Linked DNA regions of Danio rerio. The protein of the gene in region 2 interacts with the protein of the main gene of each other region in a pairwise test. Links are inferred from orthologs where the notes say so. Each region holds a gene or a part of one and is shown on either strand. Other genes may lie near its edges. The genes, in order: egfl6 and sh3gl2a.

Region 1 (17,214 bases), on a different chromosome or scaffold from region 2:
TTAAAACATAAATCACAAAATATGGAAAACTGCTCATTTATGGATATTTTAAAAGTGTAGTTTAATTTTCGCTGTTTCATTAATGCTGTCATTTCTCACCTGAACAATCGAATCCGCTGCCACGGAAGCCCTGCTTGCATTTACACTTGTAGGACCCAAGAGTGTTGATGCATTCAGCGTGATGACTGCACTTGTGTGTGTTCGACGTGCACTCATTTACATCTGCAAACACACACACTCGCATTATTGCATTTCACATCAACTGAACAAACTCTGCATGCACTAATAAAACACTGGAGAACTAGTGCTGGACCTGATACAGTAAAGCCAAAGCTGTCATCACAGATGCATCACTGTGTTTATAAGTGTTCAAGAGGAGCTGAGATTTACATGAGGGTTGGGTTTCAGCCAATCACAACAAACTGAAATATAAAATCTATCTAGCAGACTTGTGATATCTCTATAATTTGATAACTCTGCATCAATATAGATATAGATATCTATATAGAAAAGACTACTGTCATCTGACCAATCAGAGCAGAATAATGTCATCTGACTAATTAGAAAAACTAGTGTCATCTGACTATTCAGAAAATACTTGTGCTATCTGACCAATCAGAACAGACTCGTCTCATCTGACCAATCAGAGTTGACTTGTAATATCTGACCAATTAGAAAAGACTACTGTCATCTGACCAATCAGAGCAGAATAATGTCATCTGACTAATTAGAAAAACTAATGTCATCTGACCATTCAGAAAATACTTGTGCTATCTGACCAATCAGAACAGACTCAATTCAATTCAATTCAGATTCAATTCAATTCAATTCAGATTCAATTCAATTCAATTCAATTCAATTCAATTCAATTCAATTCAATTCAACTACTGTCATCTGCCCAATCAGAGCAGACTATTGTCATCTGACCAATCAGAGCAGACTATTGTCATCTGACCAATCAGAGCAAACTATTGTCATCTGACCAATCAGAGCAGACTATTGTCATCTGACCATTCAGAAAATACTTGTGCTATCTGACCAATTAGAGCAGACTCGTCTCATCTGACCAATCAGAGTTGACTAGTGCCATCTGACAGATCAGAGCACACTAGTCTCATCTGGCCAGTCAGAGCAGACTTGTGCCATCTGACCAATCAGAGTAGACTTGTAATATCTGACCAATTAGAAAAGACTACTGTCATCTGACCAATCATAGCAGAATAATGTCATCTGACTAATTAGAAAAACTAGTGTCATCTGCCCAATCAGAGCAGACTATTGTCATCTGACCAATCAGAGCAAACTATTGTCATCTGACCAATCAGAGCAGACTATTGTCATCTGACCAATCAGAAAATACTTGTGCTATCTGACCAATAAGAACAGACTCGTCTCATCTGACCAATCAGAGTTGACTAGTGCCATCTGACCAATCAGAGCACACTAGTCTCATCTGGCCAGTCAGAGCAGACTTGTGCCATCTGACCAATCAGAGTAGACTTGTAATATCTGACCAATTAGAAAAGACTACTGTCATCTGACCAATCAGAGCAGAATAATGTCATCTGACTAATTAGAAAAACTAGTGTCATCTGCCCAATCAGAGCAGACTATTGTCATCTGACCAATCAGAGCAAACTATTGTCATCTGACCAATCAGAACAGACTATTGTCATCTGACCATTCAGAAAATACTTGTGCTATCTGACCAATCAGAGTAGACTTGTAATATCTGACCAATTAGAAAAGACTACTGTCATCCGACCAATCAGAGCAGAATAGTGTCATCTGACTAATTAGAAAAACTAGTGTCATCTGCCCAATTAGAGCAGACTATTGTCATCTGACCAATCAGAGCAAACTATTGTCATCTGACCAATCAGAGCAGACTATTGTCATCTGACCAATCAGAAAATACTTGTGCTATCTGACCAATCAGAACAGACTCGTCTCATCTGACCAATCAGAGTTGACTAGTGCCATCTGACCAATCAGAGCACACTAGTCTCATCTGGCCAGTCAGAGCAGACTTGTGCCATCTGACCAATCAGAGTAGACTTGTAATATCTGACCAATTAGAAAAGACTACTGTCATCTGACCAATCAGAGCAGAATAATGTCATCTGACTAATTAGAAAAACTAGTGTCATCTGCCCAATTAGAGCAGACTATTGTCATCTGACCAATTAGAGCAGACTATTGTCATCTGACCAATCAGAAAATATTTGTGCTATCTGACGAATACGAACAGACTCGTCTCATCTGACCAATCAGTGTTGACTAGTACCATCTGACCAATCAGAGCACACTAGTCTCATCTGGCCAGTCAGAGCAGACTTGTACCATCTGACCAATCAGAGTAGACTTGTAATATCTGACCAATTAGAAAAGACTACTGTCATCTGCCCAATCAGAGCAGAATAATGTCATCTGACCAATCAGAGCAGATTATTGTCATCTGACCAATCAGAGCAAACTATTGTCATCTGACCAATCAGAGCTGACTATTGTCATCTGACCATTCAGAAAATACTTGTGCTATCTGACCAATCAGAACAGACTCGTGTCATCTGACCAATCAGAGTTGACTACTGCCATCTGAATAATCAGAGTAGACTTGTAATATCTGACCAATTAGAAAAGACTATTGTCATCTGACCAATCAGAATAGATTAGTCTCATCTGACCAATCAAAACAGCTTAGTGTCATCTGGCCAATTAGAACAGAATAGTGCTATCTGGCCAATCAGATCAGAGTTTTATCTGAGCAATTAAAGTTGACTAGTGCCATCTGACCAATCATAGCAAACTAGTGTCATCTGACCAATCAGAGCAGGCTAGTCTCATCTTACCAATCAGAGTAGACTTGGGATATCTGACTAATCAGAACAGCCTAGTGTCATCTGGCTAATCAGAACAGACTAGTCTCATCTGACCAATCAGAGGAAACTTGTGATATCTGACCAATCAGAAGATACTTAAGATATCTGACCAAATCAGAACAGCTGATTGTCAGCTGACCAATCAGAGCAGACTAGTCTCATCTAAGCAATCAGAGTAAACTGGTGCCATCTGATCAATCAGAGTAGACAAGTACCACCTGACCAATCAGAGCAGAGTATGCTTCCTAAGAAGGCGGGTTTAGAGCAACCAGATCGTTGAACCAAACATTTCAGAGACTGTACACTTCTAAATTAAAGTGATTTTGATCTTGAATACACATAAAACTATTCTAGAAGAGTCCCAAAATAAAACAAATACATTTTAAATAGCACAGGGACACGGAAGACTAATTGTGAAAAGCGTTATACAAATAAACTTGAATTGAATGTTTTTTACACTGATTCTTTAGCATCAACACTAAATGCAAGACTCATTACTTCATTAATGGATATTTTTAGGGTAGTTTACTTCTTTACCAGTAATTTGGCCATTTTTATGATGACTTTCTTTGACAAAAGCACACATCATCTTTAATAACTCGTACTAGCTCAATCTAAGGTGGACAGTTGTTTTTATAATAGTGTATAGTCGGTCATTACAGCAGGTTGTACACACAGTTGCATTCTTCTCACCAACGCAGTCGTATTTTCCATTGATGTATTTGAGGTCGTATCCTGGCTGACACTTGCAGTAGTAGCTGCCGAATGTGTTTGTGCACTGCCGGTTAAACGGACACTGGTTTTTCCCAGTCGCACATTCATCAATGTCTGCGAAAGAGAAAGAGGACAACAAGAAGAGTGCATGGAGAACATTCACTGTTATTAGATCACAGAGCTTGATATGACCAATGAGTTCAGAGTTTTTTTTGTTCTTGTTTACTAGCTGGGAGGCACTGTGGCTCAGTGGTTTGCACTGTGGCCTCACAGCAAGAAGGTTGCTGATTCGAGTTTCAGCTGGGTAAGTTGGCGATTCTGTGTGGAGTTTGCATGTTCTCCCAGTGTTGCCATGGGTTTCCTCCTGGTGCTCCGGTTTCCCCCACAGTCCAAACACATGTGCCATAGGGAAATTGATTAACTAAATTGGCCGTAGTGTATTAGTGTGTGTGTGAAAGAGTGCCCTATCATACACTTGGCACAATGTGGCGCAAGGCACAACGCAATAGTTGTTTGCTAGTTTCAGCTTGGCGCAAGAGTCGTTTTGATGTTTTCCGCCACGCTGTTTAAATAGCAAATGCATTTGCGCTCATATGTGCGCTCATTCCACTGTGCCTCTGGGCCCGTTTTTTTTTAAAAGGTTTAATCCGGATAAAATTGATACGGATTTAGTAATCCTGTTTTTGCGATTCGTGATCACGTAATCCAGTTTACTTTTTGAGCCAGTTTTTCAAAGCAACATTGGATTGGATCAATCTGATCCGGATAGGAACTTTTTAGGACCACTAAATCTGGATTACCAGTGCTCAATCACAATGTAGATGGATAGATAGGCCTATGTAAAGAGCAACAAGTAGAATAGCCAGTGTGGGGTCAATATAACTTTATTTTTATTTGAAATGAAAACTAAGAACATTTTATAAACAATAAAATAATTATAATAATAAATAATAAAAGCAAGAAAAACCCCACTCCATCCTCTTCCAGCAGTCCGCTCATCTGAGACCTACAACACTGTACATTGAGGATATTTATAATAAGTTTCAAATATAGATGTATTGAATAAAAAAAGACAATGTTGAAACCTCCACAATAATGTCAGACTTCCTCATCTGATGTGGAGGGAGCAGCTTGTCTGAGCGTATTCTTTAGGAGGCAGATCTCAAGTGTGGTCTTGGTTTGCTGCAGTTTGGTCAGAGTCAGTTGTTCCTCTGCCAGATAAAGCTGAACTTCTGCCCTTTCAGTCTCTTTTTGCAATTGTTCAAAGTGATTTCAAAAATCAGGCATTGCCATTCTTTGCATTTTTTTTGTTATTCTCTAATCATTGCATGCATCACTAATAAATATTCTAAACACAAAAATATTTTCCATTGTGATGAATATGTGTGTGTGTGTGTGTATCTATATATATGTATATATATATATATATATATATATATATATATATATATATATATATATATATATATATATATATATATATATATATTCCTTGGACTATATATCAATTAGTAACATAATAAAATGTATTGTTTTTGGTAAATTTTGACAGCTGTTTGGGGGATTATTTTATGAGGCCAAACTCTTTCTACTTTGCTGTAGGCCTATACTGAAAGGCTGAATACGTTAAAGCCTATAATCACTATAGCCTGACAGATGAACAAATAAAATTAAAACCTTATGAATAAATTGTATATCTCGTAAGATACTGCATGATCCAAATGTAGTTTTATTTAATAATTTTTTGAAGTTTTCATCACATTTTGGGCATGAAATCCACGCTAAATCCACCCTTCTGATGGGATCAGTTTAATCCAGGTTTTTTGGATCAAAGTGATCCAAATCCTACAAAAAAGGTCTGAAAAACCCAAACTAAAGGTTTGATCCGGATCAAAACAAAGATTGGATTATGTGATCTAATCCGATTACGTAATCCGTTTTTTCTTTTGAAAAACCCATTTTCAAGATTTGATCCAATCCCTTATCCAAAATCCTAGTGGATTACTTTTGAAAAACTGGGCCCTGATGAATAAAGGGACTAAGCTAGGGGTGTCCAAACTCGGTCCAGGAGGGCCCGTGTCCTGCATAGTTTAGCTCCAACCTCCTTCAACACACCTCCCTGGAAGTTTCTAGTATACCTAGAAAGAGCTTGATTAGCTGGTTCAGGTGTGTTTAATTGGGGTTGAAGCTAAAAGATAAAGGACACCGGACCTTCAGGACCGAGTTTGGACACCCTTGGACTAAGCTGAAGGAGATCAATGAATGAATGAATGAATGTTTTCATTTCAGTTCTCACCCTCGCAGGTCTTTCCATCAGACCCGAGCTGAAGGCCAGGGGATGGACAGAGACAGCGAACCTCAGACTGCACCTCCTCACAGCCGTACTGACAGTGAGCCAGAGAGCACGTCCTGGAGTCTGCAATGACAGACAGACAGGCAGACAGACAGACAGACAGACAGACAGACAGACAGACAGACAGACAGATAGACAGACAGACAGACAGACACACACAGTGTAACAGCTCATTAGGGCTGTACAGTTTCAATTCAAAACAATGCAATACAATTTCAACACATGGCCTAAATAGCTCTATATGGTAAGAATTCAGGTGCAGAATTTAAATAAACAGATGTGACACAACCAACCCAAGCTCATTCTGAAAAAGTAGTCCCGCGGACGTTTCTGGAGGCCGTGATTTATGTAGCCGGAGGTATGTATGGCTGCATTTCATTTGATTAGGCCAGTGGTCACCAAACTAATCAAGGTCTTATTAGGTATACTTGAAACATCCAGGCAGGTGTGTTGAGGCAAGTTGGAGCTAAACCCTGCAGGGACACCGGCCCTCCAGGACTGAGATTGGTCACCCCTGGATTAAGCAAACACTACGGGGCGGTATGTGTCCTTTTCGCGCTCGCCGGCTGACTGCTTACCTCCGTGTGGAAGGCTTTCCCACCTCTACAAGTTTGTCAAGTTAGCTCGTCGTGTACGTCGGTGGACTTGAGATGTAGAGAGGAGCTAACAACGATGACCGGGTTCGAGTCCAGGGAAGAGCGGTTCCAGAAATCAGGTAAGATTTCGAAGAAAGACTTTTTTGGACAGAATCCAAAAGATAAAGTGAACAAGTTCATAACAGGGTGAGAATGTGGTGAAATCCGAAAACGTGGTAAAAATCAGACGAGGGCTTTTCTTTTTCTGGACGGCTTTTGTAAATCGTTGCTTGGGTTTAGGGAAGCAATCGGGCGGGCGGGTCAATCGGTAAAACCGGTTGGGTTTAGGGAAGAAGGAGGAGGAGGGTGGGTCGGCCGATTGGCCTGTCGCCCAGTCAATCATTTAGTCAGTCGGACAGACAGTCACCTGACAGCGGCTTACGATGGGTTTATGCGAGAACAGCGCGGGCATGAACGGCACTCGCGAGAGATGTTGGAGATGTGAAAAAGCACACACAGCGGCCCCAAATTCGCGCAACAAAACTGCACAAATACATACCTCCCGGGACGTATTTCGCGGCCTCCAGATATGTCCATGGGACTACGTTTTCAGAATGAGCCTGGGTTGGAAATAGCACTGCATAATCTTCGTTGTGTGAATAAGTTGATAAAATATTTTAGATTAAAGTTACAAATATCATTATTCCTTGTGCCTGGATGCTTTAAACTCTCTCAGTATGCAGTCACAGGCCTTAAAAACACTTGCAAATGACAAAGATTTGCTCCTTTATCTCATGTTTTTACAGATCTCATGTTTCTGAACTGTGGCTCCTGGTCAACTATAATGGCTATTCAACATTGCAGATCCTGAGATGTGACTATTGCGGATGCACACATTGTAATATCCATGCTGAAACGATATATTGTGTATGTAAACATTCCTCTGTTTCCCAGAGATGGGTTGCGGCTGAAAGGGCATCCGCTCGTAAAAAACGTGCTGGATAAGTTGGAGGTTCATCCTGCTGTGGCGACCCCGGATTAATAAAGGGACTAAACCGAAAATGAATGAATAAGTGAACATTTCTCTGGATATATCGTGGTCACTCACTTGCACAGGATCCATCAGGCATTAGCATGTAGCCGTTTAAGCAGTAGCACATATAGCTGCCGAATGTGTTCATACAGCGATGCTCACAGGGACGAGGCTTCAGACCACACTCATTCAGATCTGAAGGAGAGAGAGAGTGAGAGAGAGTGTATTTTAAAATCCTTCCGTGTTTTATAACATTTAAAATACACAATTAACAAATGTACATTTCAGTCACAGACATTTTGCAAAAATGATCTCTCCATGTTTAACAGAGCGTAGCGTTTCTTTATTATTACACATTATCATTACATCCCGTTTCTCAAATCACAACACACAAACACTTTAATAAGCATGTACTCATAGACATCGCTATAATGCAGGTTAACTATGTCTGTATAATAGCTTTTTATTTGATGGCAGCAAGGTAGCTTAGTGGTTAGCACTTTGGCCGCACAGCAAGAAGGTTGCTGGTTCGAGTGCCTGCTTGGTCAGTTGTCATTTCTGTGTGGAGTTTGCATGTTCTCCCCGTGTTGGTGTGGGTTTCCTCTGGGTGCTCCGGTTTCCCCCACAGCCCAAACACATGCGCTATAGGGGAATTGATTAACTAAATTGGCCGTAGTGTATGAGTGTGTGAATGAGTGTGTCTGGGTGTTTCCCAGTACCAGGTTGCAGCTGGAAGGGCATCCGCTGCGCAAAACATATCCTGGATAAGTTGGTGGTTCATTCCGCTGTGGCGACGCTGGATTAATAAAGGGACTAAGCCGAAAAGAAAATGAATGAATTATTACTATGGTAGTAAATGTCGGCTGCACTGTGGCGCAGTAGGTAGTGCTGTCGGCTCACAGCAAGAAGGTTGCTGGTTCGAGTCTCAGCTGGGTCAGTTGGCATTTCTGTGTGGAGTTTGCATGTTCTCCCCGTGTTGGTGTGGGTTTCTTTCGGGTGCTCTGGTTTCCCCCACATCCAAACACATGCGCAATAGAGGAATTGGGTAATCTAATTTGTGCATAGTGAATGAGTGTGTATGGGTGTTTCCCAGTGATGGGTTGCAGCTGGAAGGGCATCCGCTGCGTAAAACATATGCTGGAATAGTTGGTGGTTCATTCCGCTGTGGTGACCCCTGATTAAAAAAAGCGACTAAGCCGGATAGAAAATAAATGAATGAATACTATGGAAGTCAATGGCTACCAGTTTGCAACATTCTTCAAAATATCTTCTCCCGTGTTCAACAGAAGAAAGAATCAGGTTTGTGAATGGTGAGTAAATAAAAAAATAAATTGGGTGAACTACCACTTTAATGCCTTTTAACCTGTCCTGTATGTCCATAAACACTGTAAAAAATATTTGTAAATGATCAGTTTTCCGTGTTTCGTGATTCATGTTTTTATTCAAAGTATCATTTTGATTTTTGATCATTTACAAATATTTTTACAGTGTTTATAGACATACAGAACAGATTAAAAGGCATTAAAATGATAGATCACCCAAAGTTTTTGAGCATTCACAAACCTGATTCTTTTGTTGAACATGGAAAAAAAGATATTTTGAAGAATGTTGGAAACTGGTAGCCATTGACTTCCATAGTATTCATTCATTCATTCGTTCGTTCATTCATTTATTCATTCGTTCGTTCGTTTGTACGTTCGTTCATTCATTCATTCATTCATTTTCTATCCGGCTTAGTCAATTTTTTAATCAAAGCTCCTGAAAGCAAAGAAGACCATGTACTTTAGGATTGGCCAACCCAGTCACCAGACATGAACATTATTGAGCATGTCTGGGGTAAGATGAAGGTTGAGCCATTCATCTATCTTTGCCATCTTTGCCGTTATCTTTGCCATTCCAGATGACTTTATTAATCAGTGATGTGAGTCTGTCAGAGATGTATGGATGCAGTCCTCCAAGCTCATGATGGAGTCAGACACAATATTCATTCTGTCTCCACTGCAGCAGGACTTTATATTCTATACTGGACATTATTTCTGTTCAGTGATGACACTTTTGTCTAAGCAAAGTCAGACCTTACCATTCACACGGGGCGTCAGCGTCAACGCTTTCCATTCTCTTTAAATGGGTGACGTCAGGCGTTGCCGAACTGCATTGTGGATCCATCAGCGCCGCTTCAGTGGCGTTGCTCGCTGCAGAAGTTGGGACTAGCTTAACTTTTCAAGCGCCGACGGAAGCTTCAGCCAATCAGATCGCTTTATGCAAATACACCAGATTAGACAGTGGCCTATTGCTGACAAATTTCATTGGCTGACGCTGCTATGACGATCGCATCAGCCCCAACTTCAGACACGCCCTCTGTCAAGCGTTGATGCTGAAGCCCCTTGTGAATAGGATGTTACTGTGCTAATATTGCCACTGGAGTCAGCTTCCATAAATGATCAGATGTGCTCCAACATTAGGCACATTCACATCCAGACTGAAACACATCTGTTTAGCTGTGCCTTTACTGAATGAGCACTGTGACACCTCCTAAATAAACACTTGTGCATCACTAAATACAGAATCTGTTCATCAACCCATATGTTTTACAGTGCAGTGTCTAATAGCGTATATTGTAAATAAATAAACAGTTGAGACACACAAACCTTGGCTGCAGGTCTTTCCAGTGTATCCAGGAAAACACTTGCATTTGTTGGGGCCGACACACTCGCCGTGTTTGCAGCCCAGATCACACTGAGCTGGAAAAACATGCCGAAATATTAATGAAGAAAACAGCGGAGGTCAAATCTGTTCACAAAACCACACACGTCTGGAAAACAACGGCAGCTCATGTCCCACAATCCCCCTCAGAGCTCAGACCGCAGAACAAGCAATGTGTATCAGAAAAGTTTGTGGATGGAAAGTAAAGCCCAGTGTTTCCATGTTTTGAATGAAAATAGGGTATATTCACAGCTAGTGTTTTTCCCCTAGTGATAAACTTCTGGTGAACGGATAATGTGAATATCTTCAATTTGATAAGGTTTCTTTCAAAGCGTCGATGTTGTACTGTAATTAAAATGCAATCAGTTAAACAGACTTCAGCATTTATTTAGTTGTTCAAGTGTAAAACGAAATGAAAAGTAGTATGTAGTGTAGGTTCCCAGCTAGCAAAATTCATGTGGCTCAAATCCAGCCCGCACCAGACACTTACATCCGGCCCACAAACTACATGGAATGGTGGCACTTGGGCGATCCGCTCCTTTTTGCCAGATCTGTGCCACAATCAAGCCATACCAATACCTCATATCAGCCAGAATTTAACCAAATTAACCAGAACTGACCCTATTCTGGGCCACAGTTTGCTTTTATTCTGTCCCAGATCCGGCCCACACCAGACACTTACATCTGGACCACATACTTAATAGAATGATGGATCTAGAGCAGTCTGCTCCTGTTTGTCAGATCTGGGCCACCAATAAGCCAAAGCAGTACCACATATTGGCCAGAATTCAGCCAAATGAACCTGAACTGACCCTATTCTGGGCCACAGTTTGCTTTTATTCTGTCCCTGATCCGGCCCGCACCAGACACTTACATCCGGGCCACATACCGCATGGAATGATGGCACTAGAGCGGTCCGCTCCTGTTTGTCAGATCTGGGCCACCAATAAGCCAAAGCAGTACCTTGTATTGGCCAGATTTCAACCAAATGAACCAGAACTGACCCTATTCTGGGCCACAGTTTGCTTTTGTTCTGGTCCAGATCCGGCCCACGTCATACACTTACATCTGGACCACATACTGAATAGAATGATGGCTCTAGGCTGGTCCGCTCCTGTTTGTCAGATCTGGGCCACCAATAAGCCAAAGCAGTACCACATATTGGCCAGAATTCAACCAAATGAACCTGAACTGACCCTATTCTGGGCCACAGTTTGCTTTTGTTCTGGCCCAGATCCGGCCCGCACCAGACACTTACATCCGGGCCACATACCGCATGGAATAATGGCACTTGGGCGGTCCGCTCCTGTTTGCCAGATCTGGGCCACAATCAAGCCATATCAATACCTCATATCAGCCAGAATTTAACCAAATTAATCAGAACTGACCCTATTCTGGGCCACAGTTTGCTTTTATTCTGTCCCAGATCTGGCCCACACCATACACTTACATCTGGACCACATACTGAATGAAATGATGGCTCTAGAGCGGTCTGTTCCTGTTTGTCAGATCTGGCCCACCAATAAGCCAAAGCAGTACCACGTATTGGCCAGAATTCAACCAAATGAACCAGATCTGACCCTATTCTGGGCCACAGTTTGCTTTTTTTCTGTCCCAGATCCGGCCCACAACAGACACTTACATCTGGACTGGACCACATGCTGATTGGAATGATGGCAGTTGATTGGCAATGATGGCTTAGATTCAGATTACATTATGCCATAAGTGCCAAATTGTTGCCTTAAATGGCCCATTTATTTGCTATTGTACATGGGGGCCACTTCCCTAGTAGCAAAGAATTCTGGCCCAGATTTGGCAAAAAGCTGGCACAGCAGGCATTCATCCACCACTGACATACAGCATGTGGGCCAAACATGGCCCGGGTTTGGCAGAGGTGGCACCGTCTTTAAGGCGGCACACAAGATTTGGGCCAGATGAAAAACGTAGTATTTGGCGCAGATTTAAAAATTTGATAAGTGGGCCATGTGAGTTTGGCTAGTCTTGACCCACATTTAAAATACACCAAAATAATTTTTGAGTAAAGAAAAAAAAAAAATCTACCAATCAGGTCACTTTGAGAAAAAGCGTGCCCATAGTGTGCCTAAAGCGCATCACTCCATAGGTTTATCAATTTCATTGCAACCGTGACACACCAACCTATCTGGCCCAGTTCAGGCCCAGTTATGAGTTATTAACTTGGCTGAGACTTGGCCCAGATATGGTCCGTGTTTGGCCCTTGTCTGGAAGCCAGATTTGGTCCAGTCATGTACCGTAATTCACTGCAGCATGTGGGCCAAGCAAAACCTGATTGTGTGGGCCAGAGCTGGGCCAGAGAAATTTTGCTTTGTGGGTTCAGGCTCACTGAATGAATACCACCAGTGCTGCATGACTGCCTAAAGTGGCCCACATTCATATGCTATCTGGGTTAACTGTGCTTGATTTAAACTTTCATTTGTCAACAATTCAGTGTTTTTCTGTCAGTATGGGCTGCTGTGTGTACAAAATAATTAACTAAAATAATTAGCAAACAGCGGCAATATAACAAAGAGTCAAAAATTTAAGGGAATCTGAATATATATATATATACACACACACAGAAAAAGGAGATTCACTAAATGTAATAGCAATCTTATTGTAGATCTGCTTTTATCTGCTAAATCACCTTCACATTGTCCTTTAGTGTTTTTCTTCCAGCCGTAGCAGCACTCCAACCGGCTGCCGTATCGACACACACCCAGCCCACTCATGACGGAGATCTGCCGCCGCTGTCTGTGGGGGAAACAATAAGGACACCCTCAGTTTAACACACCGATGGGGGATTTATAGTAATGCATTTAGATGAAATATAAATAAATACTAATATTAAGATGTAGACCATGCTTCACTTTTTGTGTCATGTGTTTGTATGTGTGCGTGTTTGTGTATGCATGGCTGTCCATGCATGTGCTTGTGTGTGAGTGTGTGTTTGTCTGTCTGCATTTTAATTGTGTGTGTGAACAGAGAAATAGATCTCAGGTTGTTTCAGGTGAAAAATGAGGCATAATTAGAAGGTAAACGTAGTCCTTACGGTGACCTTTGACCCTTTGGGGTTAACTGCAGTTGCTTTACGGCTCTTTAAGTGTTTAACAGACACTCTTACAGGAACCAATAAAATCTCCCGCAGCACATTTCTGCTATAATTACACCTCGTACTATTCATGGCCATCACACTTCAGCAGGAGCTTCTTTAAGACAGCGCTGAGGGTTTAGTGTGTCGCTGAGAGCAAGCACAGGTTTATATATATAAAATAGCCAATGAACACTTCACACCATCCATAGAGAAATATGATATATGGCAATATACGCAAATCACATGTATGTCTTGTGTAAAAATACATGTCTTTTATATACATGCAGTGCTCAGCAAAGCTAGCGAGTAAAGGACATAAATAAAATTAGACTAAAAGGCAGCCCTTGTCATCAAAACAACATCATAAACATCAATAAAACACAACAAATATGCCTAATGACATATGTTGATTTATTTTTTTGTTGATTTCCTTAATGTCGAAGCTAAAACAAACTGAGATCAAACATTAGCTTCAAAACAATACCTAAAACATACATGAAATGACTGTCATCTAATTGATTTTTGATGCCAATGTTCGATATTATCTTGATGTAGTTTTGACATCAGGGTGGTAAATTCATAGTAGGGATATCATAAATATGTACATTAGATATCTCATACAGGCCCTGAGCATGCATCAATACCGCCACCATATTGGTACAGGGCTTCCATGACAAAACTCATCAGCATTCAAGACTAATGCCAGTCTGAAGATGCTGGACTTTTGCGCTGCGTACAGGTGTAGTAATGAGCAAACAAATAATACCAAGTAAAAAGGCAGAACATTTCAAAGGTAAGATTTAGTTTTTTAAAGATCTGTGCTGGTATGTTGGATTGAATTTGCCAACAAGCATAGAGATATACATTAGATGTGGCCGGGCCTATTGTTGTCTATTGGACGGAATGCATCAATAGCGCCGCCATCTTGCTACAGGGTAGGGCTCCTTTGAAATGAATGCAGGACCAAGGTACAGTGGAGGACTGTGGCCATCCAAAGCCAGAGATATACACATATACACATATATCTATGATCGGGAGTTTTCCTGGATGTTAGTATGTACATTTTTTTTTGTAATTACAAAAATTATAATTTTACATCACTTTTCTACATTGATGGATCAGTGACCGCATGGGCATTCCTGACAAAAAGCTTGTGTTTGTGTGTATGGAAATGTACTATTCACCCTCCCTGTTAAATCTGATCTAATAATGTCCTGAAACACAGCTCCTCTCCTGCTTTCACTTCTCATACTGACGGAGGGAGCGATTCGTTTAAGAATGAATCCCCCGAACGACTCTTTCACTAACGTTAGCCGACAATAATACAAGTTTCTGGCAGCGCAGCATCTCGTTGTCATATTTCTTTTGCATTGTTTGCTGACTTTATTCAACAAAACTAGCATAAGCCGAGTGTTTAGTGCGAGTTGGAGCTGCTTTGCCGTATGCTGAATGCAGTGACTGTCATCATCAATAACGTTACCTGAGTAGCACAAAAGTTCACAACAAACAAAAACAGAAAAAAACGTAATATTACCTATGAAATGTTCTGCCTTTGTGCTTTGTTTTCTTTGTTTGCTCGTTACTACACCCGTAGACAGCGCTAAAGTCCCGCATCTTCACGTAATAACTGTGTTGACTAGTGCGGTTGAATGACATTTGTCCTGGGAGCACTGTACCAATGTGGCGGCACTATTGATGCATGCTCAGGGTCCCTATGCGATATCTAGTGTATATATCTATGGCCAACAAGCAGTGTTATTGATGATAATACAGTCGCTTACTGCACTGGCCATAAGGCAAAGTAACACCAACTTGCACTATAATACTAGGCTTATGCTAGATTTGTTGAAGAAAACCAGCAAAAATGTAAATGAAATATGACAACAAGTAACGACTAGATTTTAAAGTAACATAACAGTGCCAGTGCCTTGATGTGCATACTGTCCACCCTTAATTATTGAAGATTATAACTTTTATATACCATTTAGATCAGAGAGGTGTACATGCACAATGAGGTGCAGGGATATCTATGGTTGAGTGTTTCACAAACGAATCGTTAGCTTTCATTTATTTCCTCAACATTCTACACACAATCCTCCACAATGACATTGTGAAAACAGAGTTTTTGAAAGTGTTGCAAATTTAATAAAAATATAAAAGCTGTAAAATAAAGATGTACATCAGTCTTCACAGGCTTTGCTCAATACTGTGTTGATGCACCTTTGGCAGTGATACCAGCCTCAAGTCTTCTTGAATATGACGCCACAAGCTTGGCACACCTGTCTTTGGGAATTTTTGCCCCATTCCTCTTTGCAGGACCTCTCAAGCTCTATCAGGTTGGATGGGAAGCAATGGTGTACAGATCTCTTCAGAAATGTTCAATAGAATTTAGATCTGGGCTCTGGCTGGGCCCCGTCGCCCTGGTCAGTTCCTCTCTACGCCTCAACTCCGCCGACATACACGGCGAGCTAACTGGACAAACTGGTTGCGGCGGGAAAGCCCTCCACACGGAGGTAAGCGTTCAGCCGGTAAGCGCCAAAAAGAACGGCATCATACCGCCCTGTAGTGTTCGCTTCATCAAATGAAATGCAGCTATATGTACCTCCGGCTACATAATTCACAGTCTCCAGAAACGTTCGCGGGACTACGTTTTCAGAATGAGCCTGTGTTGTGCAAAACAAATTAACACATGCAAATAGCCCGGGACACAACAGATAATGTTTTAAAGGAACCCAGAAATGTGATAGCTGCTTCTCACTTAGGGCTGTTGTTTATGCTAATGAGGAAGAGATGGGCACTAGTGGGCGGGGCTTTCCCCCTCTGATGACACATACAAAGGGAGAATGTCAATCAAAGTGTTTCATTCATCAAGTCTGATTATAACAAACACAATTAATTCATGTTTATCATTAGAGGCTGGAGATATTCACACAATGCTGACACACAACTGGATATACACCCCTTTATAAAAGTCATTTTTGCATATTAGGTGCCCTTTAAATAATAAAAAAAAATACATATATATATATACATATATATATATATATATATATATATATATATATATATATATATATATATATATATATATATATATATATATATATATAAACTGCATTGATCAGCATTTGTGAACGCATTGATCCAGATGTCTGTAATTCTGCGCGCTCCTCATGCTAGTCTCTAAATCTGTCCCGGGCTCCAGAGGGACGCGGTGAATCCGTGAACCGACTGAAATACACCCAGCAAATGGAGCCGCTCATGTGAACAGGTGGCAGACGCTCATTACAGACAGAATTAGCTGCTCATCAGAACACTTTACAAAACAACACCAGCATTTGCACAAGCACTGAAGCTCACAGCCACAAATCAACAGCTATTACATCTCATTTCCATCAGCTATTTAAATAATTGTGTTTTGATTCGACACTCTAATTTAAATAATTTACTGACACTTTTAAAGGGGAGCTATTATGCCCTTATAACAAGATGTAAAATAAGAGTCTGATGTTTCTAGAGCATGTAAAGTGAAGTTTCAGCTCAAAATAACACACAAATAATGTTCCACTAACTCTTTGAAACTGACCCTTTTAGGCATTGATCCTAATAGTGATGTTTTGGTGACTGTCGCTTTAAATGCAAATGAAGGCGGAGCTATAAATGTCCATGCATCACCATAGTGGCAGATGTTAAGCAGCACTAGCTTCATTATCAGTGCTCTATCTATCTATCTATCTATCTATCTATCTATCTATCTATCTATCTATCTATCTATCTATCTATCTATCTATCTATCTATCTATCTATCTATCTATCTATCTATCTCTCTATCATCTATCTATCTA
Region 2 (16,623 bases):
TAAATACCTACCTATTGGAGATGTGTCAGCAGGTTAATTTGCTCATTTGCTGGTCTTTCATACAGAAAAATTCAATTCAATTCATGTTTTTTTATATTGCGCTTTCCACAATGTAGATTGTGTCAAAGCACCTTAACATAGTTGTAGTAAAGTCCAGATTTCAAAGGTAAACCGCAGTTTAGTTTAGTGTGGTTTAAACTTCACTGCTGAAAGTTCTAACACTGTAGAGCGAATCCACTGAAGCACAGCTTTACAAGTCCTGATCCAAGCAAGCTAGTGGCGACAGGAAAAAAACCTTCACCAATTGACGGTGCAGGAAAAAAAAAAAAAAAACTTGGAAGAGACTAGGCTCTGGTGTTTCCATAATAATGCAGTCAGACGTTAATGACCTGACCTATCTTTATGAAAATTCACATTGCACGTTGTTGGATATGAAATACAACATGGAAAAAGTAACATAGATCGTCATTAACAAACATTCAAACTTCTTTACCAAAGCTTCTCCACTAACCATCAGTCTTGGACATTTACCATTTTTGTACCTTGTAAACTTTTTTCCCCCATGTTTGTACTGGTAATCAAATTCACATCTAACATGCAATTTATTGTGGGTAATATAAACCATTAAAGAATGCAGGGATCTGCACTTCAATTTTTTTTTACAAGAAATAGGTGGGTCATCCAGGTTTCTTTGAAACACTCATTTCAACATGCTATGATTTGGGACAAAATAATTCTATTTTTGAATGCTATTTATGCCAGATTTTACTTATTTTTTGTTATTTAATGAGGGCATTAGTTCTTTGCTTATTACACACACAGCTACATGCAGCAGCACACAAACATACATGAAGCTAAGTGTGTAAATAGTGCACAGACTTTTTCTGAACAAATCTACTCTAGAGAAGATTTTCTTCTTTATATTTCCAAATTCCACTATGCATATAATGAACCTATTATGCCTTAAGAGCAACTGGATTTTAAATGGAAAGGGAGGTGGAATTTGATAATTTATATTTATTGCATGTCAAATATAATGCAAAATTTACTTATTGTTTAATGAATTGTTGTGCACAATTGCTAGGGACCAAAAAAAATAAAAAATAAAAATAATAATAATACTGATGTGAAATTGCAATCATTCTAAATTTGTGTTACTTTTTACCCATAGAAAATTATATTCATAGATTATTGTTGTGGAATACTGGGAAAAGATTCTGTGCACTGTTTACCTTCAGACCTTATCTAAATTCCTGCACAAATCCTGATTGACTGGAGACATGACACAGGTTTGGACATTTGCTCATTAAACAGGCTCCAAGCCCACTTTGCGAGCAGTGGAGCAGACAGGTACACTTTAGCAGACACAATATTCAGTGAGGTCTCTCAGTCTTCCACCCACACACACATTCTTACTGCCACTTCTGGCCTTCACCCTTAGCTTGCTGTTTTGCTCTCTCCCAATTTAACTCTTGCTTTGCACTCTTTATGGTTGTCAGATAGAAGTATTTAGCTTATTTATTCAGACAGAGAATAGAGTACATCTTGTTATAGGGGACAATTTTGCTAAATCAGAAATGCATTTCCAATTTTTATTCTAATTCTTAAAAAACAATTGAAATCTAAAAGGATCTATATTAAAAGATTTATTTAGAAATATGGCTTTCAAACGAACTATTGTTGGCGATGCGCATTCGTGACGCTCTAACAGTCATGTTAGCACACCTGAGCTTGTTGCAGTCTGACCTGTCTTACCGCCTCATTTGTCATCTCCAATCACAAGCTCTTTTGAGGGGAGCTGAAAGACAAGGAATTATCAGCCCTTGCCTGGTGATGAGAGCTCAGCCTGCTGCTCAAAAGAGAAAGTATGTGAGAACACCAGCAAGTTAAACATGTAAGAACACAGGCTAGCACACTCTGCCAATCCTCGGCATCGTCCAGAGACTGCATCAAATATTTCTGACATTTAGAAAAAGTCTTAATTGCAGTCATTAGAGATGCAATCTGATGACCTGTTTAACTCTTTGGAAGTTTTTTGAAGTGTCCAGAAGAGATTTTCCTGCGGGCACCTTGATATCAAAACGACATCAAAAATAATGCAAAAAGAAAAAAAAAGGCAAATCGGTTTGATGTCAAAATGCCTGATGTTTATTTGACTTACATTGATGACCTTTTGACCACCAAATAACAAAAGTATTATATAAGAAAATTAAATTACAAATTACAAATTTAAACTGAATTTTGTATCCCCACAATGCATGTAGAACTTCCTTGATGTCAAAACGACATCAAAAATGACGTAACATTGGCATCAGAAAACTCATAACTGACCTGTAATTGATTTTTTACGTGTGTTTTGACAAAAGGCTATTTTGCTATCAAGATAGGAAAAAAAAGTGCTATTTTGACATCAAGGTAGTCAATTAACATGAAACCAATTAGCATTTCTGACATGTTTGCTGATGTGTTTTAGACGCGGTAACACTTTATAGTAACTACACACTATAAATCATTTATTAAGCATTAGCAAATAGTGAATTCATTATCCATTAAGCATTAACTTTACATTAATAAACGTTAGTAAGCAGTTTATAACTGCAGCTACAAATGCTCTATTCTTGACTTATAACCACATTTATAATGTGCTTAATAATTGTATTTTCATACTTAGAAAATGATTTATTTTTCATTACTAAATTAAGTATTGCATTATTAACTAAACTGCTTCAGTTTCCCCCACAGTCCAAAGACATGCGCTATAGGTGAATTGGGTAGGCTAAATTGTTTGTAGTGTATGAATGTGAATGAGTGTATATGGATGTTTTCCAGAGATGGGTTGCAGCTGGAATGGCATCCGCTGCGTAAAACATATGCTCGATAAGTTGGCGGTTCATTCCACTGCTGTGACTCCAAATTACTAAAGGAACTAAGCCGAAAAGAAAATGAATGAATGAATGAATGAATGAATGAATGAATGAATGAATGAATGAATGAATGAATGAATGAACAGCTTATAACGAATAAGACTTCACTACAAAGTGTTACCAAAATAATTTATGGAATTATTATGGTGTTATAATATTATAATAGTATTAGGTTTTAAAGTGAAACTGCCTGAGGACATATAAAAAAAATAAATAAAAAAACTGCTTCCTTCCTTCCTCATGATAGACTAAGTAATGCACACTATAGGTCAGTAGTACTGCACTGACCATATCCATACAGCAAAACACAGAAACATGAAAGCTGAATATTTTTTTTCTGCAAACCATACAAGACCTAAATGTTTTGGCATTGATCATCCTGTCAGGGTTTATTTCGGGATAGTGATTGACTGTACATCATCCCTTAGACAAACAAACACACAGAGATACATTAGAGGCCGAATACACAACATAAAATTCAAGCAAATGTATAAATATGTACTTTCAGTCACAGTGTGTGCAACGCGCACTGTTAGTCTTCGGTGTGTTTGCCGACACGCAGTGAGTCTGGGAACAGGGTAAATGTTGACACTGTGGCGCGTGAGAGCGAGTGGGGTGGAGCAGAGCTTGGGTGGATGTGATATGCCTCGCTGACTGTAAGTACAGTTGTAGGATGAAGTGACACATCGCTGGCGTGCCAGTGTCTGGGCGGAACACAAACACGCAGGTTGAGGGGTAGAGAAGCATCGGCTCAAAGCTTTTGCTCACTGCTATTAATTTAGGAAAATCCAGGGGTTCCAAAAATGGAATCAAACCAAAAAGTTTTTGTTTATGGGTTCGTTCATTTTTTATGCATATGGGGGAACTTTTTTCTTGTTGAGATTAAAAAAAAATGCAAAATGTGATTCAAACTAAATACTGCTACTAAAACAAAAACTTTTGAACTAATAGACCACTGTATATTTTTTTTCTCTCCAATTTCTATTAAATGGAAAGAATACTTTTTAAACACATTTCTAAACATAATATTTTTTTTAATAACTAGTTTCTAATAGGCGACTCAGTGGCGCAGTGAGTAGCACGTTTGCCTCACAGCAAGAAGGTCGCTGGTTCGATTCTCGACTCAGTTGGTGTTTCTGTGTGGAGTTTGCATGTTCTCCCTGCGTTCGCGTGGGTTTTCTCCGGGTGCTCTGGTTTCCCCCAAAGACATTCGGTACAGGTGAATTGGGTAGGCTAAATTGTCCGTAGTGTGTGGATGTTTCCCAGAGATGGGTTGCGACTGGAAGGGCATCCGCAGCGTAAAAACTTGCTGGATAAGTTGGCGGTTCATTCCGCTGTGGCGACCCCAGATTAATAAAGGGACTAAGCCGACAAGAAAATGAATGAATGAATAATTTCTAATAACTGATTTGTTTTTTTGTATTTGTTTTATCTTTGCCATGATTACAGTATATACATAATATGTCATTAGATATTTTTCAAAAGACTAATCAGCTTAAAGTGTAATTGAAAGGCTTAACTATATGTTAATTGGTAGGTTTCGGGTAATTAGGCAAATCTAAAAGGATAGTTATTTTCTGTAGACAATCTAAAAAATATATATTGCTTAAGAATTGGTATTTTTTAAGTTATTGCTAATAACATTGGCCTTAAAATGGTTTTAAAAACTATTTGAAATGGCTTTTATTCTACCTAAAAAAAAACAAACAAGACTTTCTCCAGAAGAAAAAACAATACAGGAAATACTGTGAAAAAATTCCTTGCTTTGTTAAACACGTTTGGGAAACATTTGAAAAAGAAAAATAATTTTGACTTTAACTGTATGTTATATTTGCTGCGCACAAACAGAAAATGCATAGTTTAGTTTCAAACAGGAGAAGTGAAATGTTACAATTCAGACATGCTGAGATAGGTGAAATGTTTCCACAGGGGTAAAATGTAGCATTATAAAAGCTGAATTAAATATGCTCTAGTATCAACAACTGAACACTATTTGTGTGTGCTGGTTTCATGAGCCCTGGTTAGGTCAAACCCAAACATTTTTGTCATTTTAGTCTTTCTCTTCCAAGATCTATAGATCAGGGGTGGCCAAACTTAGTCATAGAGGTCTGTTGTCTTGAGAGTTTAGCTCTAACTTGCTAAAAATCTGCGAGAAAGTTTTTAGACCGTACCTCCAGGACTGAGTTTGGACACCCCTGATCTATGTAGACAACAACAATATAAAACAATTATATTTGCTTGGGGTTGGTGGTAAAATATTTCACTGATGAACTTAACAAAATCTGTTGTTATAACTGATAGAGTTTTGTAGCCAAGAATTTGCTTTTGTAGCTCATACATCATTGCTGCTATGGCTACTAGACAAGTAAAAGTGAGAACCCATGTAATTGTAATATTTATATCACTCTATAAATACAATTGTAGGACACATGGAAAAATACCCTGTTTACAATTTACAATTTATGGTTATCTGTTTGATTAAAACATTTTTTAAATATGTTAAAATATGTTTCCTCCAAAGCATGTTTATATTTGTTTTGTTTATTTATTTTTTTGGCTACACAATACTTTTTTTGTTTGTTTGTTTTAAGAAGAATTTGGAAGTCACAATTTTTAAACAATACTGAAGTTTAATCACAACAAATGAACACTTTCTCACCAAAAGTGCAGCTCTAAGTTACATTTTTTTATTTGAAAGAAATGTTATTAAAATTTGATAAAATAAAACAAATATGTACATTTGAAAAAAGTTATTCAATAACTAATAATACAGTACAAATCCAAATTTTACTAACATATTTAATACTGTTCAGATGTATTAACATTTTTATCTTTTGCAGTAGTGTGTCAGTAGGAAATATCAGTTTACATCATTTTGCTCTTGAATGCAACAATCCAGTGAGATTTTTGTTTGCAGAAAATGTCTGACAGCAGTCCAATAAATTGTTTAAAAATGCGATGCTTTTTCTTTTTTTTTTTTTTAAATGCATCCATTTATATAAATTAGTTTGTATTAACTAAATGAAATCAATATTTGGTGTAACCATCATTTGTGTTTAAATTGTTTTCCAGTCAGACTGGATGAGACGGACTCAGTGTGGAGCACTATTTGCTGTCAAACTCCCTCTGCAATCAAAAACCTCTCTGGATTATTACAATTAATAGAAAAAAAATTGGAAATGTAAAGTGATATTTCCTGCTGATACACTACACTAAAAGAGTTTGCACAGTACTGTGAATACGCACTATTACTTTATAATGTATTTATTTAATAATATTATATATTTTTTGTCTTAGCATGCTGAAATTTCGAAAAAGAAAGCTTGACGTGAAGCATACAGGAGATACTAAATTTGTTTTAGGAGATTAAACAAACATTTCACACTATCCATTAAGGACTGAACGATGTTTGTTTTAAAAGTATTGCCACTGTAATGTTCAAAAATGCCAATGTTTAAAAAACCTTTACCTTAATGGTTTATTTAAACTTGCACGCTTATTACAAATATTTTGATTATGTTTGGTCTGAACATAACTTTTGATTACTGGTAGTTAAATGACTTTTTTTTTCCTTCCAGTAAGAAACTCATCATTAATTCAAACTGCTCTTTCAGAATGAAATATAGCATTTCTTAGTAAGTACAATTACTTTTCAAGTGTCATTTTGATCTCTGATCTCTAGCTTTCAAACAAACTTTACTGATAATATTTAAAAATGATTAGATGTTTCCAAGGTCCAATTTGTATAATATTAGTTGTTTTGACTGATATGTACATATAGTTAAAGGCAAAATAATTAGCCTTGTGAAACATTTACCAAGTGATGTTTACAACAAGGAAATTTTCTTCTGGAAAAAAGCCGTATTTCTTTTAGTTGAGCTGGAATTAAAGCAATAATAACAACAACAACAACAATAATAAAAACCTTCACCTAATTACAGTTGAGCTTTTTAATAGCAAGCTGTATATTCGCTTGGTCATCATGGCAAAGACAAAATAAATTAGTTATTAGAAATTAGTTAATAAAACTGGGAAACAGCACCTGGGAAATAGTTTCATTCATTTTCTTTTCGGCTTAGTCCCTTTATTAATCTAGGGTCGCCACAGCAGAATGAACCGCCAACAAATGATGCCCTTAAAGCCACAACCCATCACTGGGTAATTTTGATGGGTTTCATGGGTAAATAAAAAACCTCCATACACTCATTCACACACTACGGTCAATTTTAGCATACTCAATTCACCTGTACCACATGTCTTTAGACTGTAGGGGAAGCCGGACCCAGCCAAGGCTCAAACCAAACCAAAAAATAAATTTTTTTTTTGTTTGTTTTATTTCGGATAGAATAAAAGCAGTTATTATTTAAAAAAAAAAACATTTTTGGGACAAAATTATTAGCCCCTTTAAGCTATTTTTTTTAACGATAATTTACAGGGCAAACCATCGTTATACAATAACTTGCCTAATTACCCTAACCTGCCTAGTTAACCTAATTAGCCTAGTTAAACATTTAACATTTAGCTGTATAGAAGTGTCTTGAAAAATATGAAGTAAAATGTTATTTACTGTCATCATGGCAAAGATAAAATAAATCAGTTTTTAGAAAGAAGTTTTTAAAACTATTAAGCTTAGAAATGTGCTGAAACAATCTTCCCTCCATTAAATAGAAATTGGGGAAAAAAATAAACAGGGGCACTAATAATTCTGACTTCAACTGTGTGTGTGTGTGTGTGTATATAATATATATATATATATATATATATATATATATATATATATATATATATATATATATATATATATATATATATACATACATATATAAATATAAATATATTGTATACAATATAAAACGGGTCCAAATGTATAATATTATACCCACACATAAACTGTGCCTGATATGCACAGATATTTCAGCTTCACACAGAATATTCAGTTTGTGTTGTGGCAGCATCCCCTACTGGTTATGAAACAAAATACACACACTCCACATGCATCATTCAACGGTTGTATTTATTGTAGTTGCACATTTTTTTTTTCGTTCTCAGCACAAGCTTCATTCAGATGAGCCACTGAAAAATTCATGCTAAAGAGGAGTTGATATGTAGCGCTTCACGAATAAACACTCCCCCAGCACGTTTCACTCCAGTGCCTGATTTCTATCTAATGATAAATCTTTAACACTGATCCAAAAATAACACATGGTACTATAGTTATATGACTATACACAAACAGGAAATAAAACGCAAGAATGTCTGTACAGACCTCATTGAGGAGAATGACACAATTCAGAAAAGATTGGAATGTCCTGTCAATACAATCTATGCTTATATATATATATAAAGGAAAATTTAATAATACATTAAACCTTTTTAAGAATGTATATTGATCTGTATGTGAATTTTTAGACCATATTACATCATTATATTTATATATCATTTACAATCGGAAATTTATTCATATTTAACAAGGGGATGATGTGTGTAACTCTTGCAATGCTGAAATACTTTCTCTTATTTGTTGATCTGACTGTAAACACTATTGGCTCAATGGCATATGGTGGAGTGTGGAAAATGGTCGTCATTTCTTTTACATTTGTATTTATTTGCGCAAAAATTACACACTTCATTACTAAAGCAAGAAAAGAAAAACATAAAATAAATATAAGCACAGTTTCATGGGTTCAGAAATCACCACACTCAGGCATTATTATATTCATATATATGTACACACGCATACAATGTTTCATAAAATGGTTCTTGGGTTGTGTTTAGGTGACCAGCTTAACATCTATGGAATGTGATATGGAAAGCTGAAAAAGGCCCATGCTATTTATAGGCCATACAGAATCTTACGTGACTGAAAATACACTGTAACACAACAAATAAATGAGTCACAGAACTTTCCTCATCTTTGTTTTTTTTTTTTTTTTTTTCTTTGTTGATAAATATTTATCTATTTAAATAGTCAAATCTAACACCACTTAAAGGCTAAAACCAGTTGCAGGACATTAAACGAACAGTGGAACATTTCACTCTATGACCATTAAAGGTGTGAACGGATATTGGTTGTGTAGTTATTGCAATTTCAAAGTAATGAAGAAAGGAAACAACTCTCAATGTTTGTCTGCCATCATCATTCACTTATACATTACGCTAGATAATACCAAAATAAATGAGAGACATTTTATTTTACACATTTTCTTTTTTCAAACGGTGTGATAAAGAGACCAATCATGATTTGCTGTTGCGAATAGGAACAGGCAAAAAAGAATAAAACACACACAACGTCTGAACATACAGGAGGCATAGCAGCAGGCAATGCAGAGGTCTGATCAACCTCAAAAAAGAGAAGATAAAATACATTGAATAAATTAATAATACAACAAAATAGTGGCATTCCCAGTCAGGAACAGTATTTTGTGAAAGGGCACTCATAACTGCTTATTTTCTATGCGCAAATAACCATAACAGAGCATTTTGTGCTGTTTGTTTTGGTGACTTTTGCTCTCGTTGAAGAACTGGTTTGATTGGTCAGGTCACGGTTAGGTGCATGCAGGAAACTTAATGAGGCAAAGCTACCAGGATATCCACGTAGTTGACGGGGAAGAAGCCAGATTGCCCGTTCACCATTCCTTCATACCAGTTGTCGTCAATCTTGCTGGTTAGGGTGATGATGTCACCTTCCTTGAAGCCAAGCTCACCCTCATTTTCTGGGTCAAAATCATAAAGTGCCCGACAGCAAGGCTGGTCCATTGGAGCTGAAACAAACGAGATACATTCTTTAGCATAAACACACACACACACACACAAAAAAAACCCTCAGGTTTATAAATTCAAATTATTAATAGTATTACTTTACCTGGTGACCGAGAAGGACCACTGTGGCCAATACTCCCATTGTGATTCTCACTGAAATCCAAAGAGGTGCGAGGTTTGGGCACATACTCTCTTTTTGGCTTACAAGATGCCTCTCTTATTCTGTGAAAAGAAGAGAAGGAGAAGTTCTCATAATTTAGTGAAACACATTTAATTATTTATTTAATAATATTATAATTCTAGAATTGGGAGAACATTTTAAAACAATTTAAACATTTGCATGAAAAATATTTTTTGTATCATTGTAAATTCAATAAATCAAAATACATTTTGTGTCTGTCCCTACATTTTGGCTAACTCTGTTACATCGTTTATAAAAAGGCAGAACAATCTGTAAAGCACTGATAAAGAAAGCATGTGACTTGCTCCAAGTGATTTCAATTACTCTGGCAGGAAACGCTTGAAGGCACTAAGGCACAACATTTTTTTTTCTGTCATCAATTACAAAATGAAATACAAAATGTAATAGACCAATAGTAGATTAACTATTTGTCAAGTCTGTTGTGAAATTTCAGTCAGTTGTCCATTCACCTTTTGAACAAAAACAAAAATGATGACAACACATGAAATAATAGATTAGACATAATGCAATGTCTGGTTGGAGGTTTGAATCGTGAACTAAAGCACAAAATGGTGGAAAATGTCAACTTTGTTTTTGTTAAACTATGTTAGTGGATTACATCATTTAACAAGTTAAACAGTGATTAGTAACTGAATCAAAATTTCTTGCATTTAAGAATTTTGGATTAATAAAAGGATTTAGTTAACTTTAATATATACAGTTGAAGTCAGAATTATTAGCCCCCCTGAATTATTAGACCCCTGTTTATTTTTTTCCCCAATTTCTGTTTAATGGAGAGAAATGTTTTCCAACACATTTCTAAACATAATAGTTATAATTACTCATTTTCTAATAACTGATTTATTTTATATTTGCCATGATGACAGTAAATAATATTTTACTAGATATTTTTCAAGACACTTCTGTACAGCTTAAAGTGACATTTTAAGACTTAACTAGGTTAATTAGGTTAACTAGGAAGGTTAGGGTAATTATTTAAGGTTATTGTATAACGATGGTTTGTTCTGTAGACTATGGACTACCAAGTCACTAGCTGCATTACTATCAATCTGATTGAATTATTACTGATTACGGATGAGAAGCCAGCCGTGATCCATCATATCACCTGCTCCTCTCAAAATTAGTTTATAAAACTTAAAAAAAAAAAAACATTAAAACAAATATTTTAGGATAATGATATCTGAGAACTTCTCAGAACTCTACATGGTGTATAAACAGATTTCTGTAAGTTTAAAGCAATGTGTTTGATACTTGCACTATTTGTCTTAGGTAAAATCACTGTGCATTGAGTAGGGATGTAACGGTATTGTAAATACCGTCATACCGCAATATTATTTTTTTTCAATATTACCGAAGTCGCATGACTCGGTAAAACTATAGGTCTTCTGAGAAAATTTGCTCAGGCGAATGAAGCGAACGGGAGGTAGCGAAAACTACAATTGCCATCAGCCCATGCTTGACCATCATCCCTTGCGGTCTGTTGTCGCTACAGATCCAGTAATGCGGAAATGGAGTGTGCTGCTAGAAGCGGGGATGAAAAGAGCTGGAAAACTCTAAAGCAGGTCGCACACCAGAAGCGGCGCTCGGCGGCGCGCCGCGCAGTGCCACGCAGCGCCATGTATTTTAGAATTCTAAACATAGGTTTCTATCAGGATACACACACCGGCGCCGCAAGTCGGCGGCGCCCGGCGACGGCTCAGGACGCAGTTCATTTTTCAGCCGCGCCACAGAGCGCCATCTGATTAGATTCATGTTAAATATCATTCGAATGAGCGCGTCTGGTGTGTGATACTTATAAACTGTCATGTACATCTGAAAACGGAAGCGGGGCTGCAGACATTCGCCTCTCTGATTGGGGCTTTTCCTGAATATTAAGTAGCCTAACACGCACAGTTCAGTCCTGCATTATCTCCGTGTAAGTTCACACTTCGCAAGTTTGATCAAGGCTGCAGTCTCTTCGTCTCAGTTTGATATGGAAAAGCAGATTATACCGAGGACACGGGTAAATCTTCAAAGGGAACAGTGTACTTTATAACTTCATTCACATCACCCTGGCTTCGTTGTTTCACTTTCTCAACAATAAAATGTAAACATGATTTAAGGAACTGCCTATTTTCATTTTAATATTAGCAACTTAGACAGCAGACATGTTGAGGCGTCGTGCTGCATAAGATGAGCGTCATCTTCACTGTGTGCATATTTATAACAAAACGGAGCCGATAACAACACTTCCTCCTTTCAATTTCAGTGAAAATACGAAACACAGCCTCTCTTTTGCTGAGTATCAGTTTTAAGAATCGATAATGGCCATTTTAAAAGTATAACATACAATAAGTTTATACATTATAGGAAATAAAGGCAAGTGATCAGTCAATATACAGAATGGACGAGCTTCCATTAATCATTAACTTATCTTTGCGCTCAGCCAAAACACGTTACCTGAGAACAAGTAATAGATTCCAATGCCCAAAGTCAGGGAATATGTCGTTAGATAAAGACAACAAGATGAATGAAATATCACGTTTAATAAATATAGTGAGATTAGATCCAGCGGGAGATGCTTGATGAGAAGTCCGACTAGCAGAGCTCTCATCTGGGTAGATGGGCTGAGTGTGGTTAAATGTTGAATGTGATGAGTTTTCAACAATACTAAATTGAAACTTTATTTTTTTACATGGTTTAATAATTTTTTGTTTTTAAAATTGAAGTTCCTGTTTCAAAGCTTACAGATAGATGGCTAATTTGTATGTCATTGACACTTTTGGCACTTTTTTGGAGTATTTTCACAAGTTTTGTTTTTTCCTGTAAATGATTCAATAAATACCGTACCGTGACATTCATACCGAGGTATTACCGTACCGTGAAATTCTGATACCGTTACATCCCTAGCATTGAGACAATCCCATTTTCTTTTTCTTCCATGTGTTCAAAATATTAAAAACATTCTTTCATTGACTGTGATTCATTGTGACTACTTTCATTTTAATTTAGGAATTTATAAAGAAAATAATAATAATTAAACTAAAAAGTAACTTGCATTACATTTTCAAAGTATTAACTCAAATATTATCACTTTTTATTTTGTTACTTTACTCGTTACTTAGAAAAGTAATATTATAATGTAACTCACATGACCCCAACACTGGTTTTAAATGGTCTGAGCTTTGGGTAAATTTCACTAGGAATATCTTCATTTGAGTGTTAAAGGTAATATTTCCATTTTACTGTAAGCGCTTTCATATTTATTTTGTAAATGTCACTAAAATACATAAAAAAATTACTGATTAAAGCTAAATGCAAAGTAAGATTTTGGGTATTTTACAGTCAAATCATTCCCTGTTGCTATACAATAGGAACTACTTTTAACTTCACTCAACATTCTCAAAATGTGACACTGATGTGATGCAACACAGCCGCAAGAGTCAAGTGCAGGCGGGGTAAAAAAAACTCCTCCCGTGTCATACAAAAATGCCAGGATTCTCAGATTTTCTCAGCAAAAGAGGTTGATGTGTGATTGATAATTCCGTTACCCAATGTTAAAAAAATACATTTGATTACATTTTCCAAAGTGACTTCGAGATTTTATAAAACAAAGATAAAGGTGAATGTTAGAGCATTAGCAGTCAGTTGCTGAATATATAATTTATGAGATAAGCTGCTTGAACTAAATGAAGCAAGGTGAGGGCATCATTCCCTCTGGGTTTTCAGACAAAGATTAGGGATAGTCTTAGACTATACTGCTTGTTTTAGAGGTCTAAACTGAAAATAATGCAGACCAGTAATATGTTTTGGAGTCATATTCATGAAAGTTGCTTACATAGACTTATTTAAAAGTCTGTAAAACTAAACCATTGCTGTTTGTAGAGCTGCTTTATTGTTAAATTGCATCTTGGTATTGAGCTAAAAAGAAGAAAAATCAACTGCAGCAAAGTAACAACACTTTCCCCTTCGAATGGGGAACTTCAATGCTATGTGGAAACTTCCACTATGAAGTTTTTGTCAGAAACCAATCATCTGAAAGAGTAAAAAAAAAAATAAATAAATAAAAAATCAGGCCAATGAAATGCCAGTTGGCGGCGTCAGCCTGCACAGCTGGCGTTAATGACAATCAGTCATAATATAAAGACGCGGCTAGTGCAATGCTGGACATCCTTTTTTTGCTTTCAGAGCATTTCACAAGCTTCTGAGAGAGTCTTTGAGGTTATCTCCATCCTGTGTCTACAGGAGAGATCGAGAAGCAGCTCCTCCCGGTCCAGAGCGTGTATACGCAGTGGCAGACAGTCGAGCTGGGTTTCTCTCCCTTGCCTGGCGTTCTTTGGGTCCGGTCCTCCAAGAGTGGTTTGTGTATAGGAAAAAAGCTTTTCTAAAAGAGCAGCACGGTTTTGCAGCACGTCTTTTTCAAGACATCGCTCCGACCGTGCGTTTCTGGATGCGGTGGTTTCCTATCCCCGGATGATGGGCAAAGCATAGCGTTTCATGTCTGGGGGTCCAGCATGTTAATGTAGTGCTCGCGGGCAGTGCATGCCGTCACTGTGATGTCATGTATGTTGCACAGTTAAGATCTTGCAAAAGAGAGGCCCACCCCAGTTTCCCCCCACACTGCGGTTGGCAGATCTGAGGATTACAGTGGGAGTAAATTCGCCTCCTTCAGGCTGCAGACCTCTCGCTCCTCCACGCGCTCCATCCAAGCTTCAGGTGAAGAGAAGTGCCCTGTCTTCAGATGGTCGCTCTCTCACTTGATGACACTGAGGATCATATGTCCATCGCTGCATCTGAGGATGGGCTGTCATTGTCTGATGAGGATGCGAACCCGCTCGCTCCCTCCCTCCGGGTTGGAGAGCACAGCGTTGGTATCTAAAAAGCAGATATGATGGCCATGCTTTCCCAAGCTGCTTAGGCCGTTGGCCTGGTGATGGTTTATCTTCCAGCCCTGCGGCCGGACCGACTAGATGGGTGTTATGTGGAGGATATAAGGAGGAAAGACCTTCAAAGCTTTCCGTCCCTTTCTTCCCGGAAATGCACAGTAAGCTCACGCAGTTTTGAGGGCACTTTTTTTCTGGCCGATCTGCATGCGCTTCCATCCTCACCATCCCTGGAGGGTGGGTTGTCAATATCTGATGAGGATTTGAGTCCGCTTCTCCTTCCGGGTTGATGAGCGCGGTGTCAAATCTAGATGCAGACTTTGTAGCCGTGCTTCCCCAGGCTGTTTCGGCTGTGGCTTTGGAGATGGTTTATTCCCCAGCCCCGCGGCCAGACCGACTAGAGGGGTGTGGAAACCCTTCTTCCGGGATGCACACAGTAGGCTTACACAATGTGCTGCGTGCGCCTTCACCCTCACCTTGCACACTATTGCCACCTACCAGTGCAACCAAGCGCAGGCGCTGGCCCAGCTGCGCGAGGATGGTTGCGACCCAGGACAGGGGATGAGTGCCGCACCCTGGGAAGGACGATGGTCACATTAATGGCCAGGAACGCCACCTCAGGCTAAACCTGGTGATGTGTGTGATGTTGACAAAGTTTGCTCTCTTAACTCACCCATATCCCAGGCTGGCCTGTTTGGTGACACCGTCGGGGATCTCGACCAGGAATTCACACCGGTGAAGGAGCAGTCAGAAGCGATGGGTATATAATCTATCGGCGGGATCGTAAGACTACTCCCTCCCACCGAGCCATCCACATCCACTGCTTTTCGCTGAGGGCGCTCGCCTATAGCTTTTTTCTCAACCACCCCGCCTATGCCTCAGGCCAAGCGGCTCGCAGGCAACCAGCCCCCCAGCCCCAAGTTTGGTAAATGAACCGCGAAGCATCCCTGAGACAGGCCATCTGGAGAGGAGGGAATTTGCTCTTTCCCCGCTGGAGGGCGGGGCTCTTCACTTAACGGACAAAAAATAAAATAAAAAAAAGCCATCAAATCCTCAAAGAAAAAGCATTTTTCCCCTTCCATGGATGTAACAGCCCGAACACTGCCAGTCTGGGACTTATGCAGGATCGGTGCATTTTGCCAATGGCTCACAGAGGGCGAGAGAACGGTCTCCTTTCTCTCCCTCTTTCAACCCCTCCATCCGGAATTTGAGTGCGAGACGAGAGCAAGTCTCTCTCTATCCCATGGGACCCCTGTGCTAGGCGAGCCCACCCACTCCACGCTGCCTCACCGTGGACCAGCCCATTGCAATGGCTCATCTGTACGATCAGACTCGGCTCTGCGATACAGTTGGCGAAACATACGCATCTGAAGTCATACGCAGCTGAAGTCACTGCCTGCTGTTCACATTCTCGGCGAGCTCAACCGTGCAGCCGATGGGCTCTCATGGCAGCTCCTTGCCCCGGGAGAATGTCGACTCCACCCCGAGTCTGTTCAGCTGATATGAGCACTGGCCCACAGCTGGCGATTTTTTACTGTTTCAGATGATTGGTTTCTGACGAAAACCCCATAGTGGAAGTTTCCACATAGCACTTCCGTTCCCCCCTGTATAAGAAATATGCATAATAGAGCGAGCAGGTATTGACTATTCATTTTTTTGAATATTATTCATTCAGGCGGTGTGGTGAGGCAGTGGGTAGCAATTTCGCCTCACAGCAAGAATGTCGCTGTTCGAGCCTCGGCTGTGTTAGTTGGCATTTCTGTGTGGAGTTTGCATGTTCTCTCAGTGTTTGCGTGGGTTTCCTCAGAGTGCTCTGGTGTCCCCCACAAGTCCAAACACATGCACTATAAGTAAATTGGGTAAACTAAACTGTCCA

Evidence for each region.
Region 1: the proteins of sh3gl2a (region 2) and egfl6 interact in a two-hybrid assay, tested with the Homo sapiens proteins (2 studies listed by BioGRID and IntAct). The link is inferred for Danio rerio from reciprocal best matches to the Homo sapiens genes SH3GL2 and EGFL6.

The regions. Positions count from the first base shown.
Region 1 is NC_133184.1:56,883,749-56,900,962, reverse strand, and holds part of egfl6 (epidermal growth factor-like protein 6 isoform 1 precursor), read right to left. Parts: intron 13,035-17,214; exon of another isoform or gene 13,030-13,034; coding exon 12,923-13,029; intron 10,299-12,922; coding exon 10,206-10,298; intron 7,753-10,205; coding exon 7,633-7,752; intron 6,013-7,632; coding exon 5,893-6,012; exon of another isoform or gene 5,618-5,892; intron 4,214-5,617; exon of another isoform or gene 4,003-4,213; coding exon of another isoform or gene 3,711-4,002; coding exon 3,576-3,710; intron 223-3,575; coding exon 100-222; intron 1-99.
Region 2 is NC_133176.1:28,370,269-28,386,891, forward strand, and holds the end of sh3gl2a (SH3 domain containing GRB2 like 2a, endophilin A1), read right to left. Parts: intron 9,906-16,623; coding exon 9,787-9,905; intron 9,686-9,786; coding exon 9,489-9,685; 3' UTR 8,861-9,488; downstream 1-8,860. UniProt on the Homo sapiens protein: Implicated in synaptic vesicle endocytosis. May recruit other proteins to membranes with high curvature. Required for BDNF-dependent dendrite outgrowth.